3 linked regions of the Yarrowia lipolytica genome follow. The protein of the gene in region 1 interacts with the protein of each later gene in a pairwise test. Links are inferred from orthologs where the notes say so. Each region holds a gene or a part of one and is shown on either strand. Other genes may lie near its edges. The genes, in order: YALI1_B29785g, YALI1_F24469g and YALI1_D35809g.

Region 1 (11,204 bases):
CTGGACCCGCTGTGCTGTGTGGTGTGCTGTTGGGACTCCCTCATCTCACTCCAAGTACGTACTGTACTCCACCTTGAGATTTCGCTAACAGAACTACAATGCACCTAACGTTAGACATGACTAACGTCGCTGGGATACTTACACCATACAGAGTTGGGCACGTGTTACATGTAAGGCTGGTTTGATAGAAGTGTATTTCTGTATATATTATACCTGTGCGGCCAACGTCCCATCACTCTCGGGCCCCGGCGTCGTTTTCATCTTGCTGGGTGGCAGCCGCTTCTCTGCAGCTGTCTCACGTGACAGATCGTCCAAAAACGGCCAGTGCAAAAAATATAGCGTCTCTCGCTGGCGGGCTTAAAGGCTGAAAGTACAGAGAGAAGAAAGTGAGTGAGGAATAAACGCTCAAACGCTCATGGGCCCACGCCTCGTGTCCACATGCCTCGGAAACTGTCTCTCGCTTATTTCCACAGATTGCCTGGAAAATAAAGATTAAGGATTGGGACATGAGGAGGCTAATGGAACAAAAGTTGCTCCGGGTCGTAAGGATGCGAAAAGGCTGTTATTGTGCCAAGGGGACACTGGCTTCTATACTTTCCATCATCTATAGCGGTGAGACCTGATCCGAGGAGATAATCTCGCTTTTCGCTGCCGCCAAGAGAGCCAAGAAGCTTGTGTCTAAAAACACCTTGCGTGGCCCTTTGTCTGCATCTAGGTTAAGCTGTGGGACAAGCCTGCAAATAGACTTCTTCTTTCATCTCCTCATCCGTAGTATCCGCTGCAACTCTTTCCCGCACACCCTCAACAGAAAGCCTGGCTCTACACACACACACACACACACTCCCCCAGCAGGTCCATTTCTCCCATGAAGCGCCTGTCTGTCTGGCGAGATCCGGTGTATCCGACAGACCACCCGGGATGTGTGCCCATCATCATAACAGAAGGAGCCGTCGACCTAGGCACCACCACGATAACATTACAGGGCATGATCGCCACCTTCACCCCAGCATGCTACCACGGCCACCCTGTCGCGGCCGTCGACTCGAGCGCCATGCATTTTCCGCTCTTCGACCAGATCCAGGAAGGCTGGAAACAATGGACTGATACTCACCAAGGCAAGTTTGGAAACTCGACAATGCCACTGACGTACTCGATGTTGATATCCATGGTGGTGGCGTGGATAGTGGTTCTTATTCTCATTCTTGGTGAAAACAGCCACGGCTTTAGAGCTCCTGTGGAGTCCAACGGTGGGTCAGAGACGACGGAACCATACAAGAGCTCGCTACAGTCTGATGGAAGCAGCTCTGCAGACTTTGAGGAGGAAAAGAAGGAATCGAGGATGAAACTGCTGTGGATGATATCGTTTGTCATGCCGCATAAGCGACCACGGAGACCGCTGTTGCTGCGTCTGGGTGTACTGGCTGGAACCATATACCTAACGATCATTTTGGCACACTCGACACAGCTGATTAACGAACAATACAATAAGGGATACCTCGACAGAAGTGAGCTGGTGGAGCGGCTGTCATCGTACGTCTATCTGGCTGTGCTGGAGCTGGTGTTTTACTTCATCATGCTGCTGGCACAGGTGCAGGTGGTTATGAGAGTCTTCTCCAGACGTATGGAGCAGCGGATGATTTTCTGGTTGGGTGGAACCATGTCTGTGGTCTGTCAAGTGCTGAATGGAATCACATCTATTGACATGGCTCTCCAATACCAGTTTTCCGGCTCGCTACCGGCCTTCCAATACCTCTTCCAGGTGGCCATCCAAATAATGTACGCCTGCTCCATGGTGTACTATCTAATCACCAACTCGAGGTCCACCATGTGCATGGAAATGGTGCCCATGACGCTCATTGCTATTTTGGCATCATCTTCTCCCGTGGTGTTATTTGTGGTGGACATTGCTAACGCCTGGCTAGTTGAATGGAGTGATTCGCTCACGTGGATCTCTACGTTGCTTGCTATAGTGTGCGCCTGGGAGTGGATTGACCGTGTGGAACGTCTGGAACGTCACCACGAAAAGGAAGGCTTCTTGGGTCGCCAGCTGCAAGAAGACGACGATTATCTCGGATTCGAGGGTGGAAAATCAATTATGAACCCCAGCGAATTCAGGGAATTCACGGACGTGTCTCTGGACGCGGATACACCAACTCCAAATGCCGCAAAGCGGTTCGTTCAGCCGCTCTTGGTGCTGTCGGACCGTATCATCGAGGCAGGACTACTGTTCTCACGTGCTTCGAGTACCTCTTATGACTCTGTGGACCAGCCAGATCCCCAAGAACTTCAACACAATACTCACGCAGCTCATGCTCGAGGACATAGTTCGGTGCGTTCACAACTGGCCAAAAAGCTCGACTATTACTACTCGAAAAAAACTAGGCCGCCTCCGGAACTGCTGGACACTCAGCATATGCCTGTTCATCGGCACTAATTTATTTATTTACTAACTGTACATTAGACTGAATACATTGCAATAGCTACATACACCACCCGTTTGAGTGATAAATAAGGTGGGCCCAACCCAAAGCGAGTTTACACTAAAGCCACAGCTTTATTATTGTACGATGTTTAGGCACCAAGCAAGGTGAACGTCAAAATCAAGCGCCAAAATTGGGTCGCGAAAATCATATACAGAAATTACGTAATTACACAGTGCTTGTCCTGATACTGTACATACTGTACGAACTGAAATAATGAAACACTCGTGTGGAAATATGATACATCATCATTTGGCTATCGCCGCTATATACATTATTATTTATCGAGCTTTCGTCGAAGAGCACGCTGAGCCTTTCTTCGCTTCTTGTACTTATGCTTGTTCATCTTAATCTTTCGCTTTCGCTTGACGGAGGTCATCTCCAGGTCGGCGTCGGTATTCTTGGCCTCAAACTTCTTGACGGCCTCACCGATGAACTTGAGAAGGTCCGCGTCAGATCGAGCGTTCTCAATCACCTCAAACTCGGACTTCTGAGGAGAGTAGTACTTCTCGTAGGGGTAGAGGTCGGCGGTGACGTTTTTAGAAAAATGCATCATTTCGGGGTTGGTAACCTGACCGGAAACGCTCATGGCATTAGGGAACAGAGGGTTGTATCCCTCGGTGGTTCCCTGTGCGTACTCGTTAGGCCGAGACTTGATGAAATCATCCATTCGCTTGGTGGCGGCGGAATCGGAGAAAAGGTGCGAGACAGAAGTGTCGAGGTACAGAGGTCGGTGTCGGCACAGAGCAATCTCAAAGAATCGGTCCTCGGGAGTTCCCTCACCCACCAGTGGCGAAGGGGGCAAATCAAAGTCCTTCCATAGCTTTCGCTTATCATCGCCACTCTGGGACGACATGGAGATTCGACGGGTTCTAGGGGCGTTTGCTGGTCGTGCGGTGGCCAGGGATCCTGCTCGCAGCAGCGATCCGGTGGGGCTGGCCAGCTGGCCAAGTCGTTTTGCTAACATGTTGTGGTGTTGGAGATAACCAACTGTGGGATGAAAATGTGTAGGTTAAGTAGGGTAAGTGGCTGAGATTACTCAGCTGATTTACAATTGATGGAGCTGTGGTTCGTGGTTGGGAGCAACCTTAATCAGACGAACACGGGTAACTTTAATTGATTATCGATAAAGTCAAGTGCAGAGTCAGTTAAAACTGGATGTTTTGTTGAAATTTGAGTTGGAAAAAAAAGAGCTCAGCCGAGGAATATATATAGGGGCGAAAATATAAAAAGTTGCTCTGTATTTCTGAGCTTCTAAAAATAAGTCAAGGGTTTTTTCTAGGCCTTTCTATTTTTGCGGGGTATTAATTGAAACCCCTTAATATTAGTCAGGTACAGTGTACACCATAACCACACCACAACGGCCACCGTTATTGCTGTAGTAGCGAAGACATACTGTAAAGAAGAGCGTCACAACACAGACAATAGGAAACCTCGGAAGTAAAATGGTAGGCATGTTTTCCCCCAATACATACTCAATCAACATCAACCGCTACAAGTACTTCTCACAACTGATATCTTGACAAACTAAGTGCCAGTGACTTGGGGACAACTCTAAATGCAGTCCTTCGCGATGTAGGCTACGTCAGATGTATGCACAGCTAAAGTTAACACCCACCAGTATCAGCCAGTATGAATCAGCAACTGGTTGTGGAGTTGTCCAGTCTGCTTGCCGAGAGCAAGCGAAGACACCCTGAGCTTCGTCAGGTGAGTATCTCCAGCGTATTGACGCGAAGGAAGTGTCGGCTTCTCTCACACGTGCCTCCCATGCGACACGGACACATGGGAAACAGACACTAACACAGGCTGCCGAATACACACTCGATGCTGTAAAGAACAAGCAACCGCAAGACCTGAAGAAGGACGAAAAGATTGCCCAGCCTCTGGTGTTGGCCTGCTCGTCACGTAACGCCAAACTCACAGCAATTGCAGTGCCATTGATACAACGACTGCTGGCTATCTCTGCGCTCTCCGACAAGTCAATTCCGTCAGTCCTGGGTGCGTTGGAGGAGGCTACCCACTTGGGCGTCGAAATCCAGCTCAAGATCCTTCAATGTCTCCCTACACTGATGGCAAACTACACCAAGGTGCTGCAGGGTCAGAACTTGAGCGCCCTGTTGGCGATCTGCTCAGCCCTCAAGGCCCCCAACAAGCCCCCTGTGGTATCCAATTCCGCAGCGGCGACACTCCAACAGTTAATAGTGTCTGTTTTCGATAAGGTGCGAGAAGAGCAGGACCCTCCCAAGACCTTTGAGGTGCCAGTCGACACAGGAGACAAGATTCTCGTGTCTCCTGCAGCAGATGACGCTCTATCTGTGTTGTCTGATCTCTGTTCTCTCATTGAATACCACTCATCTACTTTCCTGAAAGGCCATTACAAGGACACTTTCTGTCTCGAACTGGTGGAGAGTATTCTGCAGAACCAACACATGGTGTTTGAGGAGCATCCCGAGCTCATTTACTGTGTTAAGATGAAGCTATTCCCAGCACTGCTTCGTGGTCTTTCTTCCGAGGCACCGTTTCCCGTGGCTGTTAGAATCGCTCGAGTCTTGTATTTGTTGCTACGAACCCTGCTTGCGTTGGTGCCAGCTGAGTGTGAGGTGACATTGACTCTGTTCGTCCATCTGTCAAGAGAGCCTACCGAATCATGGGAACGTGCACTGTGCATGGAGATTCTTCAAGGTGTCTTCTCCGACTTTGACCTCCTTCTGGCCATTTATAAGGAGTATGACGTAGCTGAGGGACGCAAGAACATTCTTGCAGATACTCTCGGTCTGTTCCGGGACCTGCTGAAACATACCAAGGAGGGAACCAGGTTCAACAGTGCAACCAAGACACCTTTCATTGACACACTGGACAAGACAGAAGCACCGACTCTACCCGAGGGGTACGAGCAGTATCTTGCGATAACGTGTGCCAATTCCCTATGCGATGCGCTTGCAAAGTTCCTTCTTCAGAAGAACCAGGACTCTCGGGCAACTCTGTGTAAGCATCTCATTGACCACTCCTGGTCTACCATTCTGGATCTGTATAGTCCTCTGGTTTCTGGACCCTTTGAGGAGTCCCTGGATCTTCACAGCGTTATTCGTGCTGTCCAAAAACTGGCACATGTTGCGGGATATGTGGATAGGAAGACGGCGCGTGATGCATTCATGTCTCTTCTTGCCACAGGTGCAGAGAAACCACCCACTCAACGGGCTATCTTGTGTCTTCGGGCTCTAGTCAACCTCGGAACCGCCCTCGGAACTACATTGGGCTCATCATGGAGCATTCTCCTTGATACCCTACGGGAGACTTCGCAGTCCAAGGTCGGATCTGACCCTGCGGTGCTATCTGCAGAGAAGAAGCTGCTCGACTCGACGAAAGACTACTCAAATTCTGCTCTTTCAGACCTTGTAAATGCATTGACTCGATCAGCTTCCGAGTGGAACAATGACAAGCTTGGAATTGTGGCAACTTTCAACGTCACCAAGATTGTGGAGGAAGAAGTACTGTGGCAGAAGCTGTTAGGTCATCTCATCTCATGTGAGAGTTTACAGTGTGCCCTCATTCAGAGAAAACTCTCGGAATCTTCGGAGTCCGAAATACCCGAGGCTCATGCTCGAATATTTGATTCGCTTCTGAAGGCTGTAAAGAGCGACAAGTCGGAGATTGTCTTGGCTCATCTACAGACTACCCACTCGCTGCTTCAGCAACTGGGTAAGTGTTCCTCTTGGAGCACCATTTTTAGCATTCTGGACAGCGGTCTGAGAGATGACATGTCTCTGGAGGTCACCAAGGCCGCTTTTGACTCAGTCAAGCTGGTCTGCAATGATTTCCTTACCCAGTTGCCTTCCGATGCTCTTCTGACACTCGTGGACCTACTCTACAAATTCTGTCAGCATTCTTCAGACTCCAACTTGTCATTCACATGCATCTCTCTGTTCTGGACTGTGTCCGACTGCATTTTGCGCCAGGCCAAGGAGACAGACGACATCAATCGAGTCCTTACTATGTCCGAGATGCGAGACTCTACTGAGCCTCTTGCTCTGTGGCTCATCCTTATGTCTTCTCTGGCTCTCATGTCGCATGATTCTCGTGCTGACGTCAGAAATGGTGCCATCCAGACCTTCTTCCGAACTTTCGAGTCTCTCCCCAAGGACAAGCTCCAACCCAACCTGTGGCAGACCTTTTCCAGGGAGATTCTGCCTAAGCTCTTCTTGACACCCACAGGAGATCTGATCGAGAATGATCCCGCCGGAGCTGCAGCAAGGTACCCTTACACGGTCTCGCTGCTGCTTACTGGCTTCAATCACATGATGAGTGTTGTGCAGACCGTCTTGCCCGACCAGGTTGACATTCTTTTTATCCAGCTGCTCTCCTACTTTGAGCAGCTAAACACCACAAGCCCACATCCTGAGTATGCCGTAACTATCAGCAAGTCTTTCGGAGAGCTTCTGACCATTACGCCATTGAGCCGTGAGAGCATTGCTGCTGCATGGAAGTTCTGGCTCTCTCCTCCTTGGGGAACTGAGTATGTCAGCCCGTGGAACCTGGGCTCTGCATCTAGTGCCATTGCTGAGCATGCATCTGTGCACACCATTATCTACGATTTGGACAGAAATGTGCCTGATGCGACTTTGGACGCTTCCCTGGATGTTCTTTACAACTGCCTTCTGCATCCCCAACTTCCAAAGTTCGCTCAGGACCAGACGTCCACCTCTCCTGTTCAGACAGCTGTGCTGAAACAAATTTCGAATGTCTCTGGCCACCACGCCAAGGTCTTGGAGATCCTTGGTAGGATTTCCAAGCTATCCAGCACTGCCTCCAAGGAGGAGGATGACTCTCCCAAGTTTGGAGCTGCATCGCTGAAGGCTGTTGAGCTTTCCAGGAGCCGACTTCCTGAAGTTCCTGAGGCTGTAGATGACAGCGTTATCTCACTGTTGCTTCAGGACACCACGTTGTCATCGCTTGGTAATGATGCTACGGAGCTGTTCCTGGAGACTGTTGAAAAGGTGCTGCCTCGGTTGTCTACTGAGGAGACATTGTGGCCCCGTGTTGTCGAGGGTGGTTTGTCCATTCTGGCTCAGCGAAGTCAGGGTTTCCATAAGTACGAGAAGCTCATTTTTCCCATTCTTGGACTTGACCATGTCCCTGAGTCGCTCATTGACTCCCTTCTCAAGTCCATCTATGAGAACTCCCTGGTGTGGAAGACCAAGGCTTCTTCTCTGGGCTTCTCAGGCACTTTACAGGCCGTGTCAAAGCCTGATTTCTCTCTCTACTGTACAACACTATTGTTCAATTTGTGGATAGGAGAGGGGGATGGTACCGGGAGCGCTCGGGAGCGGCTCTCTCTGTCGTCGCGACAGTACGCCATGTCTCGAGCCCAAGCATGTATCTCTCAGTTTATTAACGACTCCGTGATTCGAGGCTCCATGCCCATTCCTAAGCTGCAGAACCAAGAGCTTCAGGTAATTCTCACGCATCTTGGTTTGCTAGTAAAGAAGAGCCCGGATAGTAAGAAGGAGCTCAAGGCGCTGTTCCCCTTGCTGTTGAAGCTCCAAATGCGTGGAGAGAGCACAGAAGTGATTCTACAGGAATTTTAACCACATTAAATAAAAGTATTTAGATGAATAATGACGTACAAGTACAAGCACTTATGTTTGAATGATGGATTCGTGACGTACAAGTACAACTATAGGATTTGCACGAGCAGCTGTCATTGACTGGAATGTGTGGGGTTTTAGGCTCAACTCTATTGCATGTCTTATCACAACAATATGTGGAGCTGAATTACCATGCACATAAGATCATCAATCTCAGTTGTTTCATCTATTTTGCCCAAAACTTTAAAACAGCGCCATTCATAACATTGGCATGAGACAGGGTCCGATCGGCCGTGACATCAGATTATGTACAATAGCTACGCGTACAAGTAGGAAGGAAGTATGAGTATTTTCGATAGCTGCTTTCTTGAACCTGAAGAACATAAGGAATATATAAAACTACAAGTACAAGTACAAGAATACAGGAAACATGGAGTGTATCAGAATCTAATTTTGATTAGGTATCATTAAATATGTTTTTCCAAACGGAGCGTCTAGAAAGATGCTCGGTTCCACAGGAAGTTGTTGGCAGCTCCACCAAGGTCTCCCTTAACCTTGCCAGTAGAGGCATCCTTAACCCAAGACTCCAGCACAGCAGCGGGGACAACGCCATCAGCAATAGACTGGAAGTAGGCAATGGCACCAGACACGTGGGGAGCAGCCATGGAGGTTCCGCCCATGGTGGCAGCAGCATCGTCGTTAGTAATCCATAGAGACAGAATGGTGACACCAGGAGCAAACATCTCGACACACTGTCCCTTGGCAGAAGACCAGTCCTGCTCAACGGCAATGTTGTCGAGGTGGTCGGTGGCTCCAACGGTGATGAGACCGGGGATACCCTTTGAGGCTCGGGCGGGAGATTCGTTGCAGGCATCCTGGCCGTTGTTACCGGCAGCAACAACGGTGGGGATACCGTATTGCTGAACGGCCTGCTGGAAAACCTGGTCAAGACCGGGAGAGGAAGCACCACCTCCGGAGAAGTTGATGACGGATCGGGGCTGGCCGGCCTTCTGGTAGTCAGAGAGAACCCAGTTCATACCCTGAATGATGGTGGAGGCATATCCCTGGCCCTTCTGGTTGAGAACCTTGACAGCGACAATGGAGGTCTTCTCTCCGGAGACTCCGACAGTGGAACCAGCCACAGTGCCGGAAACGTGAGTACCATGGCCGTTGAGGTCCTGCATGGGCTCGCCCTGGACAAAGTTGGCTCCCCATCGAGCTCGTCCGCCAAAGTCTTGGTGTTGGACGTAGGTTCCGGTGTCGACGACGTAGACGGTGGTGTCGTACTTGGAGGACTCTCGGTTGTAGGGCACTCGGACGGTGGAGGGCTTGTCGGGGTTGACGCCCTGGACGTTGTTGTTGAGGTGCGAGATTCGGCTCAGACCCCACTGAGCGACAGTGGTGGACTGGAAGTCTCGCTTGTGGAGCTCGGTCAGGTTGACGGGCTGAGCGGCGTGCTTGCCGAGGGAGATGAGCACATCCTTCTCGACGGAAGCGACATCAGGGGAGCTTCGAATGGAGTCCAGCACGGAGGAGTTGAAAGATCCAAAGTAACCGGTGAATCCCTTACCATCAGTGAACGCGTCGACGTCAAAGGCGCCCTGGATTCCCTGGTTGCTACTGGTAGCGGCAAAGCCGTTGGTGCCAGCCATGGCTCCGACCTCGGGAGAGACCTTGGAGTCAAGGTCCTGGATGTGACCGTTGATGGACTGGATGGAGGTGCCGTTCTTGAAGAAGACGAGGTATCGGTCCTTTGCGGAGTCGGCCAGGTCACGCTTGGCGTGGTGGCCCTGGTGCTTGTTGATGATGTTCAGAACATTGGAGTAAGCAGAGGCATCAGCGTCAGCAGGGGCGGCTGCCACAAGAGACAGACCAGCCAAAAGGAGTGTGAATTTCATAATGAGTGGCTAGAGGCGAGTGACTGATTGCGACTAGAGCCTCGATAAAAATGGGAGCGCCATCCTTTTAACTGCGCCTAACGTGATCGACAGTGTTTTCGTCGATCAACTGGGGTGTGTCGCGAAGATGTGGTTCGACAAAGACTTCTATCGCAAGCATAGGAGGAAAGATAGGTCTGTTTGCGGACGGATCGTGTCACTAATTGAATACATAAACCGAGCTCATACCAGAGGTGCTTCAAGGAGTGGTCACCTCTGCATCATTATTCCTCATCGACATCCACAATGCCCTTTCGCGCGAGTGCAAAATAAGTTTGATCGTCGCCCCCTTCGAAAACTAGTGATGGTTCAAAAATGCAGCGAACGCTGTTCACGGTCGCCGATCACTCGTTCCTTTCAAGCAACCCTCAAGACCCTGCAGTAACGCGCCAGTGAGGAGAAAACTGGGCCCTTTGTGCGCGTGTTTCACCTGGGTGTCTTCTTCACAACATGTGGAGACCCAGGAATGTGTAAGTATGAAACAAAGAGTGGTGAAACCAAACCACCTAAAAGACACCATTGTGGCCTTGCTCGAGACATACAAGAGATGATAATCACAAACCACACCATGGCTTGAATTCTATAAAATGGCTTTTTTCGATTGCAACACTGCGATACGTTTGCTCTCAAAAAGAAGACAGCTCAGAGAGGTGGGACGTGTCTGCTGTGAAGATTTTCTAGAGGCTACCACGAAGGATCAACAACAATAGGGCTATCAATGTATACGAAGTGCCGTTGATATACACTGGGTTACACTGGCAATGCGGTCATGAGAAGCATCTAGTTAATTTGGGGGTCACTTCCGTTTATATTATAGGTGATCGTTTCTCAACATGGCCTCGTCTACTTTTTGGTGTAATAGTACAGTATGTAGCTACATACTCGTGCAAATGGACGTGTATATGAGAAGGTTCCTCTGCGTGTCAGCCGTTGCCTCGGAGACAGGCTGTTGCGAGTTTATCCCTCGCTTAAGACGAAGTGAGCTCACGACTCTTAGTTAGCTACAGTATATACTGTATGTACTGTACCGCAGCTCGCTTACGCCAGCCAAGCCTGCGAAACATTTTTAGTCGAGTTTGAGACCGGTTTCCACCGGGTCATATCCGGGGTCTAATTTAGCCGGGGGGAAAATCACGTAGTCCGATAACCCAACAGAATGGAACACCAGGACCAAAGGCTAGCGCTGGTTCAGTGTAGATTGT
Region 2 (12,138 bases), on another chromosome or scaffold:
CAATGCTAATCCTTCGCGAGATTGACAACCTGAATGATAACAAAGAGGTCTCGGATCTAGGGACTCTGTAGGGACTCTGTAGATCGATGAAAACCACTTGTTTGGTGTTGACCACTTGCTCTGGAGCTCAGGAAGATTCCTGTTCAAGCACAAGTCCGCCTGGCCATACCTCCCCCACCCTGTCTGCAATATGAAATGATTATGAAAGTCTGTGACCCTGTAGCTCCCAAGTAAGTTTTCATGGCCAGGAGGTTTGAATGTAGATCGGAAACACCCAAGCTGGCAGCCTTTTACCAAAGGGATCGTGTACAAGGAAGTGATCGATATCTCCTATGGTTGTTCTGTTTCAATTATTCATCATATACCGAATTAGCAGAAGATTAACGTCTCCTGGTGGTGTTGGTGGGCTCCCTACCTTGCTCTAGTAGCAAACAGCAAGATGGAACCAGAAGGGTATCAGACACACACCAATCAGGGATTGGTCAGACATGACCGTTCGAGACCGTTTGGAATGCAGACGGTGGAGTGTGTAATCCAGAATGGTAATTGTGTCCCCCACAGCTGGGATCAAACGAGCTTTCGCTACTTGTGAGTATGTACACAAGTCAACTTTGGGACAACCCACATGCAACGTCGCACATGAAGAACGCCCCTCGCCCCCCCTCCTCCACCGCTTACCACCTGCGGGATGCATGGAAATCTTCGCTTATTGGTCGTAGGAGTCCGCTGCCGACAACAATCCGATCTCCTTTCTTTGTGTCGTCACCTTTCCACCGATTGCACATCGCAGACGTCCGAGGACCGACGTGCTAAGGGGGTTTCGCTCTGTAGCATCCAGGCCGTTCGCACGCACGCTTTCTGTGGATCAAGGGTGCAATCGCCAGATGCGCAGCTTCAGCGGTTAGCCGCTCTAGCACAGCTCATGAGAGCCCCCACGGAGTTGAGTTAACCAAAACTGACTGCCATAAACACTCGTAGGCGTAATCGGCGTCGGTATTTGGTTAAACAAGGAAAACCTCCGGGAGCCGGAGCCCAGTTGGCTGTAGACAAGGGAATTGGCTCTCTTTCTAACGATAGCTGGCAGGGCTGGCCATTAGGTACGACCCGCTCCGTACTGTCTAATGCTGATGTTGCAGCTTGTTCGGACAATTAGAGGGCTCATCAAGCCGGCAATCGGCAATCAGCGACCGAAATGCGTAACTTTGTGTAGGGGTCAGGACAAAAAAGAAATCTCCACCTGGATGGAGAGACAAAAGTACTTGTACTGTTGTTGTGGGGGCTGCAGGGCTTCTTGGCGTGGATAATCGGAAGATTTCACGGTTGACGTCCGGGTTTGGGCAGCCATGGACTGCGTGTACTGAATCGTGACAAGTGCTGTCTGGTTGCTGAGTCACCAGGGACAAACGGGACAAACGGGACAAACGTTTACCCATCAAGGTAGGTTTGGACGTTCTGTCTCATAGGTTCAGAGCTGCTGATGATTGAGATTGGAGACACACAGCCACCGTGTATCACAACCTCTTTCCTAATGAAATAATCTCATGGTTTCATAAGAACAAGAGGGCCCGCTGGCAGAAAGTTTGCGAGCTTTGAGACAAGTCCAACAAGGGAGTCGCTGTTTTGCTGTGGTTGCGTAGCTCAAAGTTTGCGATCGGACACCTGAATTCCACATGCAATGAACCGACAGACTGACACTGAGACACTGACTGAACACTGACTGACCTGACTGACACTGACTGACTGAACGACTGTCAAACAGACTCAATTCGCATTAAACTGAGATTGCAGGTCCTCCAGCGGCGTGTCGAACCTCCGAACAAAGTTGGTTCGGAATGCGTGCGTCTGGGTCGTAGTGTTCAAGCGGCTAAGCCCATTTGGGTGCAGATCAGGTCCCCAAATGTTGGAGTGGGGGTCCAATTGACCTTGGAGGTTGCTGGGCCACGATCTGGGCGTCCTTGAGGGCCCTGATCTCCTCTCTCTCTTTCTTTCTCTCTCTATGAGTGTCCCGGTACAAGATTGCATGTCCAGGTCCGGAGCCACACAAAGAAGCGATCATCAAGAGGGGATACAATGGTTCAGTTCTTTTCTTTCTTCTCTCTAGCGCAAGTACATACAATACGACACTGTATGACATCATGCAACATTGAGGAAAAGAGAGCGTCGAGCCTGATGGATATATTTTATCCATATAAACGCACCGTGTCAGAAGAGGAAGGTCCAGAGCATCACGAATCTCTGGTATTTGTGCCCACAGTCCTGATGCATGGGGCATGAACAACGTTGGTGAGAGAGGAAAAAAAGAAATCAACACATTCACGGTTGAAGTGGGGGAGGAGGAGGGATATGAAAGTGTGTTGAGGATCTGAGGTGGGCCCACAGACTGGATGTATCTGTGAAACATTGGACCACAAGATGCGCCAGTGTTTTGCGACTTTCTCACCCATACAAACAAGATGCCACCCCCTTAATCCACCCCATCTGCATGATTAAGGGAGCGAAAAACTCGATCGGCCATGTGTTTGCTACTTGTACCTTCGAGGCTAATCGTGACAGGGCGGAAGGAGAGGGAGTGTCCTTGTAAAACATTTGCCCTGATACAGTAACTGGCTCAACTCACGCAGGGTCTTCCCAGATGAAAAAATAGCCTTCTGTTTGTGTCAGTTGAAGCTGTCTGTGGCTGGCTGAGGTCTGAGACAGCTGAGGCCATGGATGGTGCTGAAGGCGGCGGTAGTACAGATGTCGTCATACCGCTTTGTCGCCATCATCTAGGCCTCGTCCCCAGGCTGGGTTCTCCTTGACCCAGTCTACGTCGTCTACTTTCTCCACCACTGGTCCATCTCGACTTAGTGAATACCGATCGAGCCTATTGAGCACGACGGTATGCAAAACAATGCCGCGAGCTCATTAATGAACGCTGTTGCTGCATGATACCTGTAGCGGATGGACTTGACCCGGGAGCCGTGGGCCTTAATTCGCTCGATCTTCTTACCAACCAGCATCCCAAAAGAAATATGCTGTGTGAGCGTTTTTTCACCGTTGCCGCTATAGCGCCCAACCTACAGTTAAGACTCATCATCTCTGTCACCCATAGATGGTCTATAGGTTGCTACTCGGGGACAACTGGGAGACTTGGTCCAAAAGTGAACGTCTTTCTGACAGCACAACCGGGCCACAGCTCATCACGCACATCCTAACGAACATATATGAACTCAGGTGGAGTAGCATGTGCAGATTGCGGTCTGTGGTGAATCCCAAAGGGGCAAGAATCAATTAATATGGCTGTAAGTTAGCCAAGCGTTCGTGTAAAAAGCCTCCTGCAGGGTGTGGTTCCTACACCGGGAAGAGATGGCACGAGACCCAATCGCTGGCGATGAACTACGGCAGATAATAGGACAGAGAGTTCGATAGTCAATAATTTCGGCCGTGCTAGACATTATGAAATGGTCTTATTCACCATAAAAGTCAAGATTCAGTTCCGACTATCGCTCTTAGTCCCACCCTTATCGAGCGTTACGTCCATGGGGTTTAGCCAACGCATCTGCAAAGACGTTCTTCTGTTTTAGGAAAACGAATGAATAATATACCTCTACTATCGCTAATCTTCTCTTCGCAAGCTTAAGATGTGAATTTGTCATCTTACTCAGAGATACAAGTGTCCAACTGTTGAGGTGGTGAAAACAGTACACACCGTGAGGTCTTTCTTTCCATAATTACAAGTTCCCCGAAAGTGGGTTCCTATTAATAGGTTAGGGCATCAAATCTAACCTACCGTGGAGCTTCTCAATCAGCATGACTATTCCCTTTGCTCTCTACTGTGCTTGTATCATTTTTTTATTTTTATTTTATTTTTGGTCTTCCGGATGTCTGTCCGCGCTTACGTAACCCACGGAATTTACTTAATCCCCTAACTAAAGCTAACAAAAAACATCTGAAACGTGTCACTCTCCCATCAGGGGGTTAGGGTAGTTTCACGTGTCTACCTTTGCCGGAGTGATTAGTCAGGTGGCACGACAAAAGCGTTCAGAGATACGATATCGGGTGGTCGCGGATCTGGAAACCCACTCATTCCTTCACTCTCACTCGCCTCTTGACGTTACAATATGTGTCCTATTGTTTCCACCCAAGCCTGCCATGCACACGCATCATCATGCTGTGTGTATCTGAACCTTCTGTCAGCTACAACATAAGGGTATCACCAACATGTTTCGGTCAATATCGCCATTGCCATTCTGGTCCAAGGATGCGACCCAAGGTAAGTATGAAGAGGGTTATGGCACGCAAGCTCTTTTTTTGTTTGTGTCTGTTCTTCTTACAGCACTGAACGCCTCAACATGAGGACATGTCACGAACGCGTTAGGGGGTGGTAGAAGAGATCCACAGCGATGATCCGGCACTAACGACGACTGTTCGAGTGTGTGCAATGACAGGACTTACTAATTCAGACCCAAAAATGAAGAAATACACGTCAGCACTAGAGAAGTCGCTGGCTTTATGGGACTCGGTCGACGAATGGGCAGACTACATTTCGTTCATTGGCAAGCTGCAGAAAGCACTCAAGAGCCATTCCAACCCATCCTACCTGCCGCTACAGAGCGAAATTGCCTCCAAACTGGCCTGGTGTCTGCTGCCAAACCTGCCGTCAGGAGTGCACCAGAAGACCCTGGAGGTGTACCGTCAGGTGTTTGAGATACTGCGAGGTATCGGCGACTATCACAAGAGTCTGGACGGCAAATCGGTGGACCCCGTGGCCCAGGGAATCAGAGTCTGGCTCCCCGGACTGCTCCCGCTCATGGCATATGCATCCATTAACGTCAAGCCCATCTTGATTGAGGTACTTCAGGAGGACATTGTGGAGAAGCTGCCTCAAGCGACTCTCAAAACGACAATTCGACCGCTGCTGCTCTCACTGCTTCCCGGTATCGACGACGAGTCAAGTGAGTCATTCCAGGCGTGCTTTGATCTCATTCAGAAGCTCAAGCTACGTCTCCATGATGAGCCCTACTTTTGGCAATGCTTCTTCCTCACCATTGTATCCGCTCCAGATAAGAGGCAAGGAGCGCTGGTTTATGCATACAAAGAACTGCCCCAGTTCTCCAAGGTCGAGGGCATCAATGAATCCGACAAGATCATTCACAGTCTATCCTACGAAGCCCAGTCAGCTGTCACTCCGGAATGTGGCCTGCTGATCCGGGCCTTCTGTCGGGGGCTAGAGGACGACCAACTCCTTGTCCAGCGAGGTTTTCTGGAACTATTAGTCAAGAACCTGCCTCTCGATTCTCCTGTCATTACAGGCCTGGCCTCTAAGAGCGACATTTCTCTGCTGATGACAAGCGCATGTGCCGCCGTGCTCAGAAAGGACATGTCTCTCAACCGAAGGCTGTGGGCCTGGCTTCTTGGACCCGATGATGTTTCCATGAAGGAGTACTTTACAACACACGGCCGAGATGCGCTTGTCCAGGGCATCCTGGCTCTGAGTTCGCCAGTGAGAGCTTCCAAGATTTCTCTCTCGTTGATGGATCGATGGGAAATTGGATCTACTGTGATTCCAGAGATTCTGACACCCATTATCCAATCTGTCTACGACTGTGAAAAGAGACCTGACTACCAGGATATTGTGTTGTCAGCCTCCGCCTTTGTTGACTCAGTGGAGGCAATCAACATTTGGGCCGACATTCAAAAGATGCTCAAGACTGGCTCTCTATCTTTGGCTTTATTCACACTTCAAACCTTCAATCTTTCGGACGAAGAGATGATTGTCAAGCATGCTCCTTTGGCACTACTGAGCCATCTTCTGTCTGGACGTTTTTCTCAGTGGAAAGAGTGGAACGAGATTGCTACTCTGTTGATTGAACTCATCCCCGAGCGGGCATTTTTACCAGTGGAACATTCGACGCTCACTGATGGCGATTTCCAAGTGTCCACTATTGAGTCCAAGGTCGAAGAGTACTACGATGGCGAGTGGGCCGATGGATATGGAGCTGCTGATGTTTACTTGTTGCTTCTACAGACCTCCACTCGCTTGGCTGATGAGTTCTTCCAGAAGGTCACTGCTGAATGTAGTAATAACCCAGCCATCTTCTCCAAGCTTGCACTCATCATTTCCGAGCTACAAGCCAAGCAGGTTTCTGGTTTTAAGTCTGAACAGCTGGAAAAAACTCTACAGCTGGCAGGTGAAGAAGCAGTGGCTCAATTCGACCCCTTCTCCAGCTCTCCCCTGCCTTCTCTGCCTCCCGTGGCTGTCCTGGGATGGACCAGGCTGTACCCGCTGTTCCCAGCGAATCTTCTTGCTCTGGTAGGATACATTTTCACATCATTAACCCCCAACTCACAGTACTACAACGGCCCTTTCCACAATGCAGAGCTGGTCAAGGCGTTGTGGTCTCTTCAGGCTGTTCACGGTAGCGATGACAGGGAAGTGGAGGCTGCTCTGAGTATTCTGTTTTCGAAACCCTGTGATGAGAAGTCACAAGTGTTTTCGGCTATTTGGCAGCACTCTCTTTCGGCACCCAACTTCTCCAAGTTATTGGCTCGACCCTTGTTCCTGTATCTCGACTTGCTTCCTCTTCCTACCTCTCAGTTGGAGCTCTATGGCAGCAATGCAGGCAAAAACAAATTCCTCGCCTCTGATGTGTCGTCCAATGAGCTGATTTCCCTGGCTTTTGCATCGGAGAAATCTCTTGCTGGCTCTTACTGGCTCAACACAGTGGCTTCGAGCGGGTCGTGTGATAAACTATTCTCACTTCTCCTAGACCCTCTGTCCAAGTCCGCATTTTTCAGCCGGCCAACCGTTGAAGGCAAGCTGCTGTTTGAAGAGTCCGATGACCTGGCTCTTTTCGCATACCACGTCTCAGCTCTCACGAAGGTTCTTTCTGCCAATAATTCTAGCATGGCCAAATTCCATTTCAACAAGGAGGAGGTGGAAGAATTTGACATCAACGATTACTATGAAGGCAAATCCACCTATGCCGCTTGGACTGCCAACCTGATGGCTCATTTTCTGCAATTCCAGGCTGTTGATACGCTGGCATACAGTTCAGCTCTGTCTGCAGTGCTCAAGCTGTGTTCCATTCTGCTTGATTCGCCTCTCTTCCCTACTTCCAAAGCCAATTGGGAGGTATTTGTGCGCGTGTTGGTGACTAAGCTGTCTGACTTGGTAAACCAGGACTCGGAGCTTCAGGTCATCGTGCTTGCAGTTCTTGCCAAGGCTCTGCAGGCCTTGGATCTTTCCATGACGCTTTCCAAGAGCGAAAAGTTCATTGGAAACGGTCCTGTGGACATCCCCTTGGTGTCTGAAACCTCAGATGTGAACATTCCCGGTGTTTTTATTGCTGTTGTTCTGCATGGCTTGTCTTCTCGAAAGGGCGTTATCATCAGTTCGGGATGGATTCACTTCCTAGAGTGTCTGCTCGGAATCTACTCTACTGATTTGTTCCAGATTAGCATTGCTATCGTCGAGAGACTGTGTGCTCTTGTTGATGGTACCCCCGTTGCTTCTCTGCAGAAGCTTTCTACAGGCTCCAGGGAGGTTCTGGTCGAAGTTGACGACAAGGACGGCGAGAAGGACCCTGCAGTTGGCGATACAGTCACTGATGTCACGGCACCTCTGTCTGACTCCATTATTCCTTACCTGACAGGTCTGGAATACTGTCTCGAGTCCCTTTATCTTGCTTACACCAAGGTCGAGGCTTCGCAGGAGGAACTAAATCTCAACTCCACGGGGTGGATGACCAACGTGGTCAATGGTGTCTTATCTCTGGAGGAGCCTACAAAGGGCAATGGCTACAGAATGATTGTTCTGTTGTGTTTCCAGAATGCCGTCAAGAGCTGCTTCAATCTGTGGCGGAAGGTCGATGGACAGGAGGCCGAGGAATACACTTTGGACAGCGTTGTCTACCTTGGCCAGCGGTTGAAATTCCGAGCTCGAAAAATTCTCGACAAGCTGTTCTCTTTCGAGCGAGGTGAGGTTCTTCAAATGCTGATCGAGCTTTCGGAGGATGATATGCCCCATGTGTTGAAGGTATTGCATGTTCTGGATGGCTCTCGGCCCAAGCTGTCGGTGAGCCAGTTGCTTCAGAGTCTCTCAGATGACCAGAAGAAGTCAACGGCCTCGTTCCTTTTGGCTTATGTGAAGTCTCTATCCAACGACGCTGTAGAGGACATTTACACGGACTACATGGGTTTCGCCCGAACCGTCATGCTGAACCCCGTGCCCTACAAGGAAATCTTGTCTCCCACCGTTCAGACCCTCACTATTATTGGAGTCAAGATTGATGGCAGCAACTTTGCCAACCGAAAGGTGAGCAAGGAAATCTCTGATGCTGTTGTGAAGCTGGTCGGACAGGTTACCGATGAACAGACTCTCATGAAGGTGGTTCCTGTTCTGCGAACGATTCTCATTGACCAAGACAAGGTGAGTTCCGTTTTGCAGGGCATTGTGAACAACGTCGTGATCCCCAAACGGTCTTTTGAGTTACTCGGCGTCATCACTCAGATCCCAGGAACCGTCAAGGTGTGGAAGAGTGCCGTTCACGACTTTTTCATCGAGGACAACTTTGTCTACGAGGCTCCCTGGCCCCAGATTCTGTCCAAGTGGTCCACGTGCACCAAGGAGGTTTCTGAGCTCATCACCGGCTCATCTGGTGTCTTCAACTGGGGCTCTCGAGGTAACAGTGTTCGACGTTTGTGTTACCTGTTGCTTTCTGGCCAGGAAGACCAGTTTGTGCTTCATATGAAGGAGATCAAGGGCATTCTGGATGAGATTGAGCTCGAGTCCTTGTTCATTGCACTGCGTGCTATTGTTATGCGGTTCTCTGCCACTCATCTGGTTCCCATTTGGCCTCTGGTTGCCCACAACCTGCAGGTTATATTCGAGGGTCTGCTGCAAGGTAAGGAGACGGATAACCGAATCGTGATGAGTGCCTGTAAGCTGCTCGATCTTGTGCTGGTGCTTAACCAGGAGGATTTCCAGCTGGATCAATGGCTGTTTGTCACCGATTCCAGTGATGCTATTTACGGACACCCTTACGGTATTCTGGATCAGTTGGCTGAGTCTACGCCTGTCAGCAGTGATGATCTTCATCTGGAGGAGACTTCCAAGCGACGGCCTTTGCTTTTTGGACAGAAGATTGGTTCTCTTACCTCTCTTGCACAGCTAAAGCCTTTCTTTGACCGGCTCTCCATTTACAACTACGAAAGTGTTTACGCTCTCAAGGAGACTGATCAGGAGGCTTGTGAGCTGGATCTCTTGGCCGATATCCAGGAGTAAAGATGATATATTATACTAAATAGATTAATGAATGAATGATATGTATGCGTGTGAAAAAATGTAATTAATATGCAATGATGGTCTACTACTTCAGCTCGAATCTGTAGACACTTAGAAGTTCCCTGCCTTCTTTTCTTTCAACAATGCGCGTCACGATCCATCCCAGTTCCCTCATTTTGACAGCCACTTGTTCTGGCTTGTTGCTTGCACAGAACAAAATGTAGGCGATTCCGTTCTTTGACAGTATGGTCTTCAGTTCTAGTAGCACCTTCCAAGTCACCTGCATTCCGTCTTCACCTCCAAGAAGTGCCCAATCGACCCAGTCACCATCTGTCTCCGGGTAGGGTTCTACGGGCTTGTCGTCTGGCACATATGGAGGGTTGAAGACCAGTAGATCGATGGTATGAGGTCTCATCATTGTGGTACGTTCTCCACGAAGCGCCTCGAGGTACTGGGTGCCGTTGTTTTCTTTTGACGTGGCCAGAACCTGGTTGCATGCAAAGGGGCTGATATCTGTAGCCAAAAAAACGCCTTTGGGCACCACGGATTTCAGCATGAAGGTGGTGACGATGCCTGATCCGGTTCCGATCTCTGTCACCACAGGGTATGACAGATGGCTGTTGATGTAGCTCTGTTCCATTTCCAGCACGTCCAGGAGCATGAAGGAGTCTTCGCTGGGCTCGTAGACCTCTTCATAGTTGGCTGATGACGTGGAAGGTGTTGGAAACGACATTTCTGGGTGGTGTCTAGACTACGATATTCTTTGGTGGTTGTGCATGCCAAAATATATATTCGCATGCAACTTAAACTCGTTCCAGCTGCAACTCAACCTCAACCACTATACAAGCCACGCAACATGAAGATCAAGATCAAGGTGAGTATGATTTGGGGAGACCGCGGGGTACATGATTGGGGACTCGAAAGAACTCATTGTGCGCATCCTCCCCGCAGATTCGTGCTTGCGGTGCGCTAACTTGGAAATGCTAACACAGACACTCATTGGAAAGGAGGTGAGTCCTGAACCACGATATACACCCAGCAGTAACATTCCTAGATGAAATGACATTTGGAACACTGTTGCGGCCAGTGTGTGACGACGAAGCTAACACAGATTGAGATGGACGTTGAGCCCGAAGATCAGGTGAGTATGAAGAGATGGAGGGACTGGGGGGACTGTTGCGAAGTGGTCACGCGTGCGTGCCACGATGAAGTTGGCATGAATGAGACACGATAAGGGGAAAAAGTCATGGGAAAGTGCTGTTCTCTATCACGATCCTACAAATGCAAGGTTCACTTACGGACCTGTTCGCACCTATCCCGTCACCACTCAAACAGGACTAACTCAGATCTCCGTTCTCAAGGAGAAGATCGAGGAACTCGAGGGTATTCCTCCCGCCCAGCAGCGTCTCGTTTTCACCGGAAAGCAGCTCCAGGACGAGAAGACCATTGCGGAGAACAAGATTGAAGCTGGAGCCTCTCTGCATCTGGTCCTGGCCCTTCGAGGCGGCAACTAATGTATTGATAATTGACTGATTAGAGGATGTGGGATGGGGCAGCGTGAACTACGTGCTACTGGATGAACATATGTGGAATTAGGTATAGATGTGAATAGGTAGTAGCTACTTGTAATACTTGTAGTCTTTTTGGTTGCCATACAACTAGCTACTGTAGCTACAGTATGTTCTGTAAGTACGTAGTTACATACAATACTTGTTCCTGTATTGTGGCGCCAGTATCGATATAAAGATAGAATAGACCGACAAAACAGACGGGAAAACAAATGTATCTCTTAGCATTAGGTGTTGGAGGTAGTACTTGTCTATATGTCTATATATACTGATTTCCACAAGTCAAGATGCGTTCACACTGTTCCGCTCATCTCATGTTGACTCGACGAAGCTTAGTTATCACTGCAAATAAAACCTTCGCAGAATCATCACCAAAAAATATTGACGCCATATACGACCTCGAAACACCACACCGGTATGGAAGGAAGGGTGAAAAACAAAGCGCCCGCCGCGTTGCAGATTTCTGCAGAGCAGATTTTGCTGGAGGCATATGAGCGAAAGGAGACGCCTCTTCAGCAGACAGAGCAGATTGCCGATCTGGAAGAGCTGGCAGAGTACCAAGGCCGCAAACGACAGGAGTATGAGGGAGCCTTGCGACGAAATCGACTGAACACCGGCCAGTGGATGCGGTACGCGCAGTGGGAGCTGGAGCAACGGGAGTTTGCACGTGCCAGATCTGTATTTGAACGAGCTCTCGAGGTCAACCCAACGCATGTGCCCACCTGGATCCGATACATTCAGTGCGAGCTCAAGGAGAAGAACATCAACCACGCACGAAACCTGCTGGACAGAGCCGTCACACTCCTGCCGCGTGTCGACAAGCTGTGGTTCACATACGTGGCTACAGAGGAGACGCTGGGCAACATTGCCGGCTGCAGAGCCGTGTTTGAGAGATGGATGCATTGGAGGCCGCCGGTGACCGCCTGGGCAGCTTACGTGAACATGGAGAAGCGATATCGTGAGTTTGACCGTGCGCGGGGCATTCTGAGACGATATGTCACTGTTCATCCAGGTGCACCAGCATGGAACAAATGGGCCAAGTTTGAGATGGAGGCAGGAAACAGAGACACCGTCAGGGAGGTGTATGCTCTGGGAATCGACACATTGGTGGAAATGGCGCATGGAGGCGTGGACTTTCTGGATGAGAGTCTGCTGGCTGGATGGGCGAGTTTTGAGACTCGTCATAGGGAGTACGAAAGAGCAAGAGCTCTGTACACTTATGGACTCGAGAAGCTGCCCAAAAGCAAGTCTGCAAAGCTGTATGCTGACTACACGGCCTTTGAGAAACAGTATGGAGCCAAGGAG
Region 3 (9,249 bases), on another chromosome or scaffold:
ACCGCGTCTTGTTGTCTGTGTAGCTCTTGATGGATGTGGAGAAGAGGGTGTTAACGAAGGTGGTCTTTCCGAGACCAGACTCGCCAGCCACCATAAGGGTGAAGGTAGCTCCACTCTTGGCCACAATCTTGTGTCTGTGTTAGTGGTGTATACAATGTCTCCACGTAGGACGAGTGATAGCTCATAACCAGTGTATCCGTGTTTCTGAGCCCATAACCGGTTCACACTTCTCCATACTCACCGCTGGTTTGGCAGATTGGCCACGCCAATGCTCTGAATAGCAGCCTGTGCTGTGGTCGCCATGATTGATAGGTATAATGTCGTGATTAGGATGCGAGAATCCTAGGAGGTGCAGACGTGGAGGTTAGCGTAGGTTACCCGGCCGAGAAATAGGGGGGAAATCAACAATTCGACTACACGTCATAATTTCTAATTAGACAGATTGTAATGTGACCAACAAATATGTAGCGGTGTATTCTCGAGAATTATTACCCTACGTCGTCCCACTCGACCTGCCGTGTTAGGCATTCGTAACCACATTTACATTGAACGCGTGCTGCCAGGCAACCGCCGTCACGTGGATACAACGCGTCCTGTTCCAAAACAACGTGTCTTGGGTTGGGAAACTTTAGAGCCGGCAGTGAGCGTTCCCAGCATGGAATTGGTATGAATGCCGTACGAGTACTTATAATTTGAAAAGAAATTAGATCTAACGTGTTTCGAACAGCTATTTCTGTCTTGTCGGGTCCGCGAAAATACGAAATACGAGGCTGTCTCGCTGCTCTAATGTGTCCTGTAACCTGCCTGACACAACCCCATAGTCAAACGGTTTATCATAGAAGGTGGCTATTGTTGAATTGTGAGTGAAGAATTTTTCGGTGCTAACAATGACCATCATAGACATGTGTCTGAGAGTGTCACCAGCGGTAATATCCGATTGGCTGTTATTTTGGACTGAATCCATCCACTTGTCGGGCGAACTACAGGTACACCTACCACGGTTCGTACGTTTTCAATTATAATTGTAGTCAAGCTTGGTGCCATTGAAGTGTGCAGCTGATAAGGGTTCTGTTGCAAATTGGGACATGTAAGTGCCAATACTTGTACATACTGTACGATACTTACTGCACTTGGTCAGGTATAGCGGTCAGGTATAGCAGATTGTCCCTCTCTCTGTGTACAGTAGTTGCTCATAGCCGGACTTGGTTGCTCTAGTTGTTACCCCAGGTCCATGCATTGATACTTCCACGACGAGTCAAAACAGCCCTTAGAGTCGTGCATACTGTAAAATGTGTCACCTCGTATCCGCCTAAGATAGTATGAGACACTCAAGTTGTGCAGATATACTCTCCTTCCTCCCTCTCATTCAAAGGACCCCAACTCTAGCCCGCTCCCTACAGTACATTCAGAGCTAACAGATGCTGTACGGCGTTATTCTTACAGTAGAGGAACGGTGGCAGGTACAAGTTGCATTAGTGGTCTAGAGCTGCACTGCATGTTGTGAGAGCGGTCGTGCTCACTGTCGCTACAGTATAAGAGATGACCTTGTATCGCTTCATTTATTTGTGCCTGTGACATAGATCGCGTTTTTTTAACTCGGACCTATAGATCAAGATGAAACCCAACCATGTGTTGATAAAGGAGCGAGCACACTCGTTCGTGGCACACTGCGGTGTAAGGGGACCCCCAAGGACCTTACATGAACATTAGTGTGTGGCATTTGGCTAAGAAAGCTGCTTTAGATCCTAGAACAAAAAGTCATCTGAATTCATCTGTTCTTACAGGTACTCGTACGTCATAACACCTCGTTTATTAAAGGCAATTTTTTACCTCAATGGTGGCCTCGCCATAATTCGGAGCTTGACTATTGTGTGTTCACGAGTGAACCTAAATGGCCCTACCCACTGTCTGTTTTAGTGAGTCATTGTGTGACTAATGGAACTAGTACAACATGTAAATTTGGGTCGTGGGATAGGAGGCTGTCCAACATTTGTCTCTTCTTCAACCACTATTCACGGTATTCAGGATATTTTCCATGTTAACCTCATCCCGCAGAGAAACTTTCACGGTCGGTGCAGTGACTCAATTAAGGTACACCATACCTCACCACTCTCACTTGTCATCAACACCCATGTCTCTGCCTCTCAACACCCAGCTTAAGGCCATTTTGGACGACACCTTCACCCCCGAGGATCTCGCCGAGGTCCTGGCTCTGGTCGCCCAGGAGAAGGTCCCTGAGTCCCAGATCATCACTTTTCTGGCCCTCTTGCATGCTAAGGGTCTCGACATGAACGCTGCTTACCTGGCTGCCGCCGCCAACACCCTGCGACACGCTGCCCGTCTGCCCGACACCTCCAAGCTTGATCCCGAGGGTTACGTCGACATTGTCGGCACTGGAGGTGATGGACAGAACACTTTCAACGTGTCCACCTCAGCGGCTATTGTTGCTGCTGGTATGGGCATCAAGGTCGGCAAGCACGGCGGTAAGGCCTCCACCAGCATGTCTGGAGCCGGTGATCTGCTCACTTGTCTCGGAGCTGACATGTCGCGAGTCCACCAATCCACTGTGCCTGATATTGTCGCCAAGGGTCCTTTCTGCTTCCTGTTCGCTCCCATGTTCCACCCCGTTATGAACCGAGTTGCCCCCGTCAGAAAGTCCATGGGTATCCCTACCCTCTTCAACGTCCTGGGTCCCCTCGTCAATCCCATTCCAGTGAAGGCCCGGATCATCGGTGTGTACTCCGAGGCCCTTGGTCAGATCTTCGCCGAAGCCATCACCCATATCAACAGAGTTCAGGGTATGTCTCAGTCCCCTGCTCTGGTTGTCTGGGGAGAGGAGGGTCTCGACGAGATCTCTCCTGCCGGACGAACCAAGGTCTGGAGAGTTACTCCTTCCCAGGAGATTGAGGAGCTCTACCTCACCCCTGAAGACTTCGGTCTCTCTAGACACCCCCTGTCTGAAGTGTCCTCCGGTACCCCCACCGAGAACGCTACCGTGCTCAAGCAGCTTCTTTCCAATGAGCTTCCCGATGGTCACCCCATCTCCGATTACGTCATCATGAACGCTGCGGCTCTGGCTGTCATTGATGGTCATGCCAAGGACTGGAAGCATGGTGTGGAGCTTGCGCGAGAGTCTATCAAGTCTGGAAAGGCTCTCAACGCTCTCGAGACCTTCGTTGAGGCTTCCAAGGCGGCCCCGAAGGAGGCATAAACGCTCGGACAGACGAAAAACTACTCACCCAGGCGAGAACACTATGGACGTTTTGACCCACGATGGTATCTACATTACATCCATCCTAGCTTAGCTAGAGGAGTCCGGGTACTCCCCGTATTTACGCTGCTATAGGTAGTATTGTTTAGGTGGTATAAGTTGAGGTTGTAGATGTGGAAATACAATAGATATTGGAGCGATATTGTGCCTGTATGGATGGTGCAACGGTTATCTAAAAAATCAATCTGATAGTGCTGGTTTTAAGGTTCCGATTGGAAAGTCTTCGCCAGCAGCAGCAGCTGTTTTCTTGTATCGTAGCTGACACTGTAGCCGATGCATTGCATGAACAAAGCTATTTGCTTAGGCCTCCTCAAAGCTACTGCTTCCCACAACGAGGGCAAGAAGGAAATGAAACATTTGCTGGGAGGAGAAAATCGAAACGATTATCTTACAGTTGCAAGGACGTCAGATAACGCACGGCATGAGACCAACCGCCACCTCTGTTATGGCCACGCTGTAGCTGCGGCATTTAGATGCGCCAAGCCCTACAAGGGCACACAAGGCTTATTACCAGCCAATACCAATGTACTGACCAATATATAAAAGACAGGTGGTGATTGAGCGTTGTGCGGAGAGGTGGTGAAAAGTTTTTCACTGATGACAAAGCGGCACTCCCCGTCTGAGCTGGAGTGAGACCCCAGTCAGTCAGCCACATGGTTACCCACTAGAGATTACAGGATACGAAATTTAAGCGCAACGCAGTGGGAACCAGGTGGTGAGGAGGGGATGAGCTCTACAGTAGATGAATATATGGCAGCAGTTGTAACACCAGTATAGTCATTTAAATAAGCCCTTCATATTCTAGTGCTAACCGCTTCGTCGTCCCCACGCAGTAATTTGAAAACAAATGTCGGCCAACCCTAAACTGTGGCAACGCATGTATTCCGCACCTCCCAATCGACCACATCATCTCGACCTGGTTGAACACAACTCCGACTCCACAGCGCAACACACCACAAAAAGATGGCTGACTACACCGCCCGCTTTCGAGTGGACGACGACTACTACGTGCAAGCCACGCCCCGAACCGGCAGTGGATCGTCGCAGTCCAATGCAAAACTGTTCAAGCTAATCAGCGCAGCTTGTGCCCCCCATCTGGTGGAGCCCAACCTAGCGCTGGACTTTGAAGTCGCCGACTACATCAACTCCAAAAAGGGCAATAGCGCTCGGGACGCTGCCCAGGCCATTGTCAAGCTCATCAACCACCAGTCCCGAAACGTGTCCATCATGGCTCTGTCGCTGCTGGACATTTGTGTCAAGAACTGTGGCTACCCTTTTCACCTACAAATCTCCCGAAAAGAGTTTCTCAATGAACTGGTTAAGAAGTTCCCCGAGAAGCCCCCAATGAACTACACTCACACCCAGTGTCTGATCTTGGAGGTGCTGCAGGACTGGCGAGAAACACTTTGCAAGCACTCGCGGTACAAGGATGACCTGGGATACATCAGAGACATGCACCGGCTGCTGACCTACAAGGGCTACCACTTCCCCGAGGTCAACCGAGATGACGCTGCTGTTCTGCGAGAGGCTGAAAGTCTCAAGTCTGCTGCTGAGCTGGAGGCTGAAGAGCAGGACGCCCACAGTGCCAAGCTGCAGGAGCTCATTCGATCCGGATCTCCTCGAGACCTCCAGGAAGCCAACCATCTCATGAAGATCATGGCTGGTTTCAAGGAATCAAAGACAAACTACGCCGCCAAGGCCGCCGAGGATCTGGAGAAAATCAAGACTAAGGCGCAGCTTCTCGACGAAATGATGCAGGGGCATCCCAGCGGCACCCCATTCAAGCCCGACGATGTCTACGCAGAGATGTACTCTGCCGTCAAGGCTGCCCACCCCCGAATTCAGAAGATGACTGAGGAGGAGGGTCAGGACGAGGAAACCGTGGCCAAGCTTCTACAACTCAACGACTACCTGCATTCTTTGGTTGAGAAGTTTGAGCTTCTGCGAAAGGGCGACTTTGGTGGAGCTGGCGCCGTCAACACAAAGGCCCCCTCTGGATCTGCGACCTCCAAGGCCGTTGTTTCCGACCTCATTGACTTTGGAGACGATGAGCCTGCAGCTGGAGGAGCTGGAGGAGCGACACCCGCGGGAAACTCCGGATCTGGCTCCGGCGCCGCCGTCGACGATCTGCTTGGCGATCTCAATGGTCTGTCCTTCAACAACAGCTCCGGTTTTGGTCAGGGTGGCTCCATTTCTCTGCTGGGGGCCACTAACGCAAGTAGCGCTGCCTCCCCTGCTGTGTCCGGAGCCTCTGGAAAGCACTCTGGCACACCCGCTGGATCCGGAAACCTTTTTGACTTGGACTTCTCTCCCTCGGCATCTCCTGCTCCTGCTGCTACTCCTGCTCCCGCTTTCAACTTTTCTTCTCTCTCCCAGCTGACTGCCAACAAGGCCGGTGAGACACACGCGGTCAAGACAGCACCCTCTGAGGACCCTGCTGAGGCCTGGAACTTTGTGGGTGCTTCTTCCGGTGCTGCTGCCGGTAAGGAGATTTCTATTCTGCAGACTGGCGACATCAAGGTGTCTGGCCTGGTCAGCAGGTCTGGCAGTAACGTGGAGATCACTCTGCAGTTCTCCAACAAGTCCTTCACTGATAACATTACCGCTCTGGACTTTAAGATTGCCGCTCCCAAGTCTGTCACTCTCAAGCTAGACCCCGCATCCTCCGACACTCTTGGAGCTGCTTCCATCAACGGAGTGACCCAAGAGGCTCACGTTGGCAACGCTGGCGACAAGCTGAAGCTGCGATTCAAGCTGAACTTCAACATTGGAGGGAAGGCTGTTGAAGAGGTCGGCACCGTGGAGGACCTGTAAATGCAAACTTATGCTATTAGTGCCTCTTCATGTCCGTAACGAGTAATGACTGTTAATATTTTTTTCATGATCCGCTCAGTAACGTACTTGTAGATTGGTATGGAGTCTCAGGATGTGTCTCAGACTGTTTGTGCAAGATCTACGGACTGACGATCGACCTCGCGGGTATGTACATACTTGTAAGAACCGTATCTGATAGTCAGCCTTTGCACGACGAGAAGAAAGAAAAAAGCTGACCCCGTAGACAAAATTGGAAACGCGTTCTCGTTGTAGCTCACATACCGTCGAACAAGGTACTTAGTGCAACACCAGTACATACTCTACCCTGATGTGCCAATGATTCCTTAAACCCAAACACAACCCGTGTATGGCGCAAGTAACGTTATAGTTCTACAAGTAGTTCAATTACAGGCACATTCCGTTGCAAGGTCATTTTGACGTAACATGTCATTGCCGTGCGTACTCCTGAGATGAAGCCAGAGTCACAGTGGGTGTTCCATTTTTAGATGTGATGTAACATGGCTCTCTTCTGACATTCTTGTGATGATCCTCTGTCATACCTCGAGATGTCTTCAATGATCACGGCATCTGCCGATTGGTGGAGTACATGGTAAATAATTTGGCTTGGGGTTGATGATCTGTTATACTTCGGTTTATTGATTCATGGTCGATTAAAAGACTGAAGTTGCTCAGGATATATATCCCCCTCCTCTTCACTCGGTATTAGCCGTGCTCAAGCCAAACACTGAGGTCGTACTGTACATACTCGTAGGAAACAATGTCCTATTTGCACAGTTTCAATATGATTTGCAGTTCCGTGAACTCTCACCCAGCCTCGCCCTGTTTTTGTGGCTTACACATAACACGAAGTCTTCATTCATGGTATGTGTTATAAGTGAATTGGCTCTTGCTACTTCTACTGTGCTCGTAGTGGACTTACGGTACAGTAATGTATGACAATCTAACGATTGAACTTCTCCAAGAACGATGTGCTTGCACTCGCAAATGCTACAAGGGAAAATTCCGTAGCTACAGCTGATATACCTTCAGCTGCCCCTACTACTCGTACATACTGTACAGCACCACTTTCGACATGGGTATGGAGTCAAACTCATGCCATGTATTGTACTTGTAGCTACTGTATGTACACTCGTAACTACACCAAGTTCCAAGTAGGAGCAGGCTGAACGGACAGATTCCATTTCGGGAAACTGACTTGCCAGTACCAGAACAATTCTTTCAACCAAAAGCAAAGTCGGAAGCCTTTCTGTAGTTATATATAGCAAACGAGCCGTGTCGTGTATGGAACTATCGAGCGCATAATTACTTTTCCTGTAAACCTTTAGCATAATAGGGATTTCGAGATGTGATTGAGATTTTGGTGGCTACTTGCATAGATTTGGCCACTTCAACTCAGGTTAAGCTGGCTTGTGCGACAGAAGCGTCGGCGTTCATCTTAACTTCCTGGTAGCTACTGTTGTTCGTCATGGGTAAGATCTTCATAAGCATTAAGCATCGTACAAGTGCCGGTACGAGGCCAACCTGATCATCCCGAAGAAGCCTCTGAGGCATATTCAAACCAAGGTTCCTTCTTGAACGCAGAAATCAAAACAAGAAGGCAATAAATGCAAATTATAGAATGGGTACGTAATGATAACTTGAGTATCCGTACCATATGAGAGGATGAGAACAGCTGCTTCGGGGAACTGTCCGTATATCTATCAAACGAGGGCCACATCGCTCCAATGGTGATAATTTTTGTTACCATCTTCCCCATGTACAGCCGTTTAACATAATGCACAGATTATCTAAACCATCTCATGTCCCTCAGCAGACGGGTGATAGATAGCTACTTTTACATAACCACATTCCCTACATGTTGTCTCAGACTTAAAACCCCATTAAGTGCATAATGGTCACTCGGTGCTCGAATCGTAGCCCTTTATGAAGCCTCATGGTAACGGGTCTTAGGGCCGATATACTTACCAGGTTCATTTGACTTCCCTTTTGGTCTTGTTATTGCTACACTCGGAAGTCTTCTTGGACTCTAAATTTGGTTAGTGGGGGTCTCAGTAAGAACATCAGAACCTCTCATGATACATGGTGAGCCCTGGAGGTACCAGTATTGAAGATGCAGTAGAAATCCAAAGCACATTTCTTCGTTCCAGTTCTCACTCCCAACACTTTGATTGTATAAGAGGAAATCACTGAACAGGGGGCCTCATCTATGTATGTACGAGTACACAGTATGTACCTCTTGTACCTTGTAATGATGACTACAGTACAGTACAAGTAGACCGACTGTAACTCTATCCCTACACGGTACAGGCGTATTCTATACCTGATGTTGTGAACGTTAAAAATGGTGGAGTTGGGGGGGTGGAAAGTCGTCATAATTGTATATATATCCACCGTGTCCTCGTCTGTGTCCCTCTTTTCCCGCAACAAATACACTCGTTCCTTCTCTAACTATGCAGTTCTCCGCCGTTCTTCTTGCCGCTGCCGCCGGCCTCGTCTCCGCCCAGAAGTTCTCTCTCGTTGCCATCCGATCTGGCTCCGACATCCAGAACGACGCCATCACCTCCGATGGCAAGTCCCTTGTCCTCAACGGCAACACCCCCACCACCTACGAGGTGATTGGCCGATCTCTGTACGCCAACGGTAAGCCCGTCCAGTTCGGTGACAACGCCACCATTGTGGCCACCGACGGTCAGGCCTCCAAGGACATCATTGTCAACGGTGACAACCATCTCTACGTCCCCAACTTTGACTTCACTGCCTGCCCCAACGGCAAGAACGGTTACGACATTGTCAACAACCAGTTCTGCAAGTCTGGAGGTCTCGGCTTTGCCGCTCGAGCTGTCTTCGAAGGTGGCTCTTCTTCCGCCGCTGCTCCCACCTCTTCCTCCGCTGCTTCCCATGCCGCCTCTTCCGCTGCCGCCTCTGCTTCTCACGCTGCTTCTTCTGCTGCTGCTTCCAAGGCTTCTTCTGCTGTTGCCGCCCCCAAGTCCGAGGCCGCTGCTGGTGCCCACGCCACTGCCGGTGCCATTGTCTCCCAGATCAATGATGGCCAGATCCAGGCTCCCCACTCCACCGGCCCTGCCCAGGCCCCCAAGGCCTCTGCTCCTCCCGCCCAGGCCAACGGCGCTGCCACCCTTGGTGTC

The links.
Region 2: the proteins of YALI1_B29785g (region 1) and YALI1_F24469g interact in binary tests that used the Saccharomyces cerevisiae proteins (3 or more experiments, as listed by UniProt). The link is inferred for Yarrowia lipolytica from reciprocal best matches to the Saccharomyces cerevisiae genes MON2 and DOP1.
Region 3: the proteins of YALI1_B29785g (region 1) and YALI1_D35809g interact in binary tests that used the Saccharomyces cerevisiae proteins (3 or more experiments, as listed by UniProt). The link is inferred for Yarrowia lipolytica from reciprocal best matches to the Saccharomyces cerevisiae genes MON2 and GGA2.

What each region holds. Positions count from the first base shown.
Region 1 is NC_090771.1:2,974,444-2,985,647, forward strand, and holds YALI1_B29785g (uncharacterized protein), read left to right. Parts: upstream 1-4,112; coding exon 4,113-4,187; intron 4,188-4,285; coding exon 4,286-8,065; downstream 8,066-11,204. Other genes in the region: YALI1_B29753g (uncharacterized protein), read left to right, coding at 866-2,434; YALI1_B29779g (mitochondrial 37S ribosomal protein mS38), read right to left, coding at 2,758-3,447; YALI1_B29844g (uncharacterized protein), read right to left, coding at 8,560-9,963. UniProt on the Saccharomyces cerevisiae protein: Required for traffic between late Golgi and early endosomes. Required for endocytosis and maintenance of vacuolar structure.
Region 2 is NC_090775.1:2,439,222-2,451,359, reverse strand, and holds YALI1_F24469g (uncharacterized protein), read left to right. Parts: upstream 1-4,200; coding exon 4,201-4,252; intron 4,253-4,442; coding exon 4,443-9,265; downstream 9,266-12,138. Other genes in the region: YALI1_F24511g (uncharacterized protein), read right to left, coding at 1-126, 170-242; YALI1_F24509g (uncharacterized protein), read left to right, coding at 333-335, 380-592; YALI1_F24489g (uncharacterized protein), read right to left, coding at 1,886-2,401; YALI1_F24486g (uncharacterized protein), read right to left, coding at 2,437-2,574, 2,618-2,746; YALI1_F24478g (uncharacterized protein), read right to left, coding at 3,267-3,445, 3,499-3,538; YALI1_F24413g (uncharacterized protein), read right to left, coding at 9,351-9,998; YALI1_F24408g (uncharacterized protein), read left to right, coding at 10,486-10,779; YALI1_F24401g (uncharacterized protein), read left to right, coding at 11,251-12,138. UniProt on the Saccharomyces cerevisiae protein: Required for traffic between late Golgi and early endosomes, and for the normal structure and organization of the endoplasmic reticulum. Required for normal cellular morphogenesis.
Region 3 is NC_090773.1:3,576,623-3,585,871, forward strand, and holds YALI1_D35809g (uncharacterized protein), read left to right. Parts: upstream 1-4,234; coding exon 4,235-6,085; downstream 6,086-9,249. Other genes in the region: YALI1_D35768g (uncharacterized protein), read right to left, coding at 1-134, 242-303; YALI1_D35787g (uncharacterized protein), read left to right, coding at 2,036-3,211; YALI1_D35852g (uncharacterized protein), read left to right, coding at 8,557-9,249. UniProt on the Saccharomyces cerevisiae protein: May play a role in the regulation of membrane traffic through the trans-Golgi network.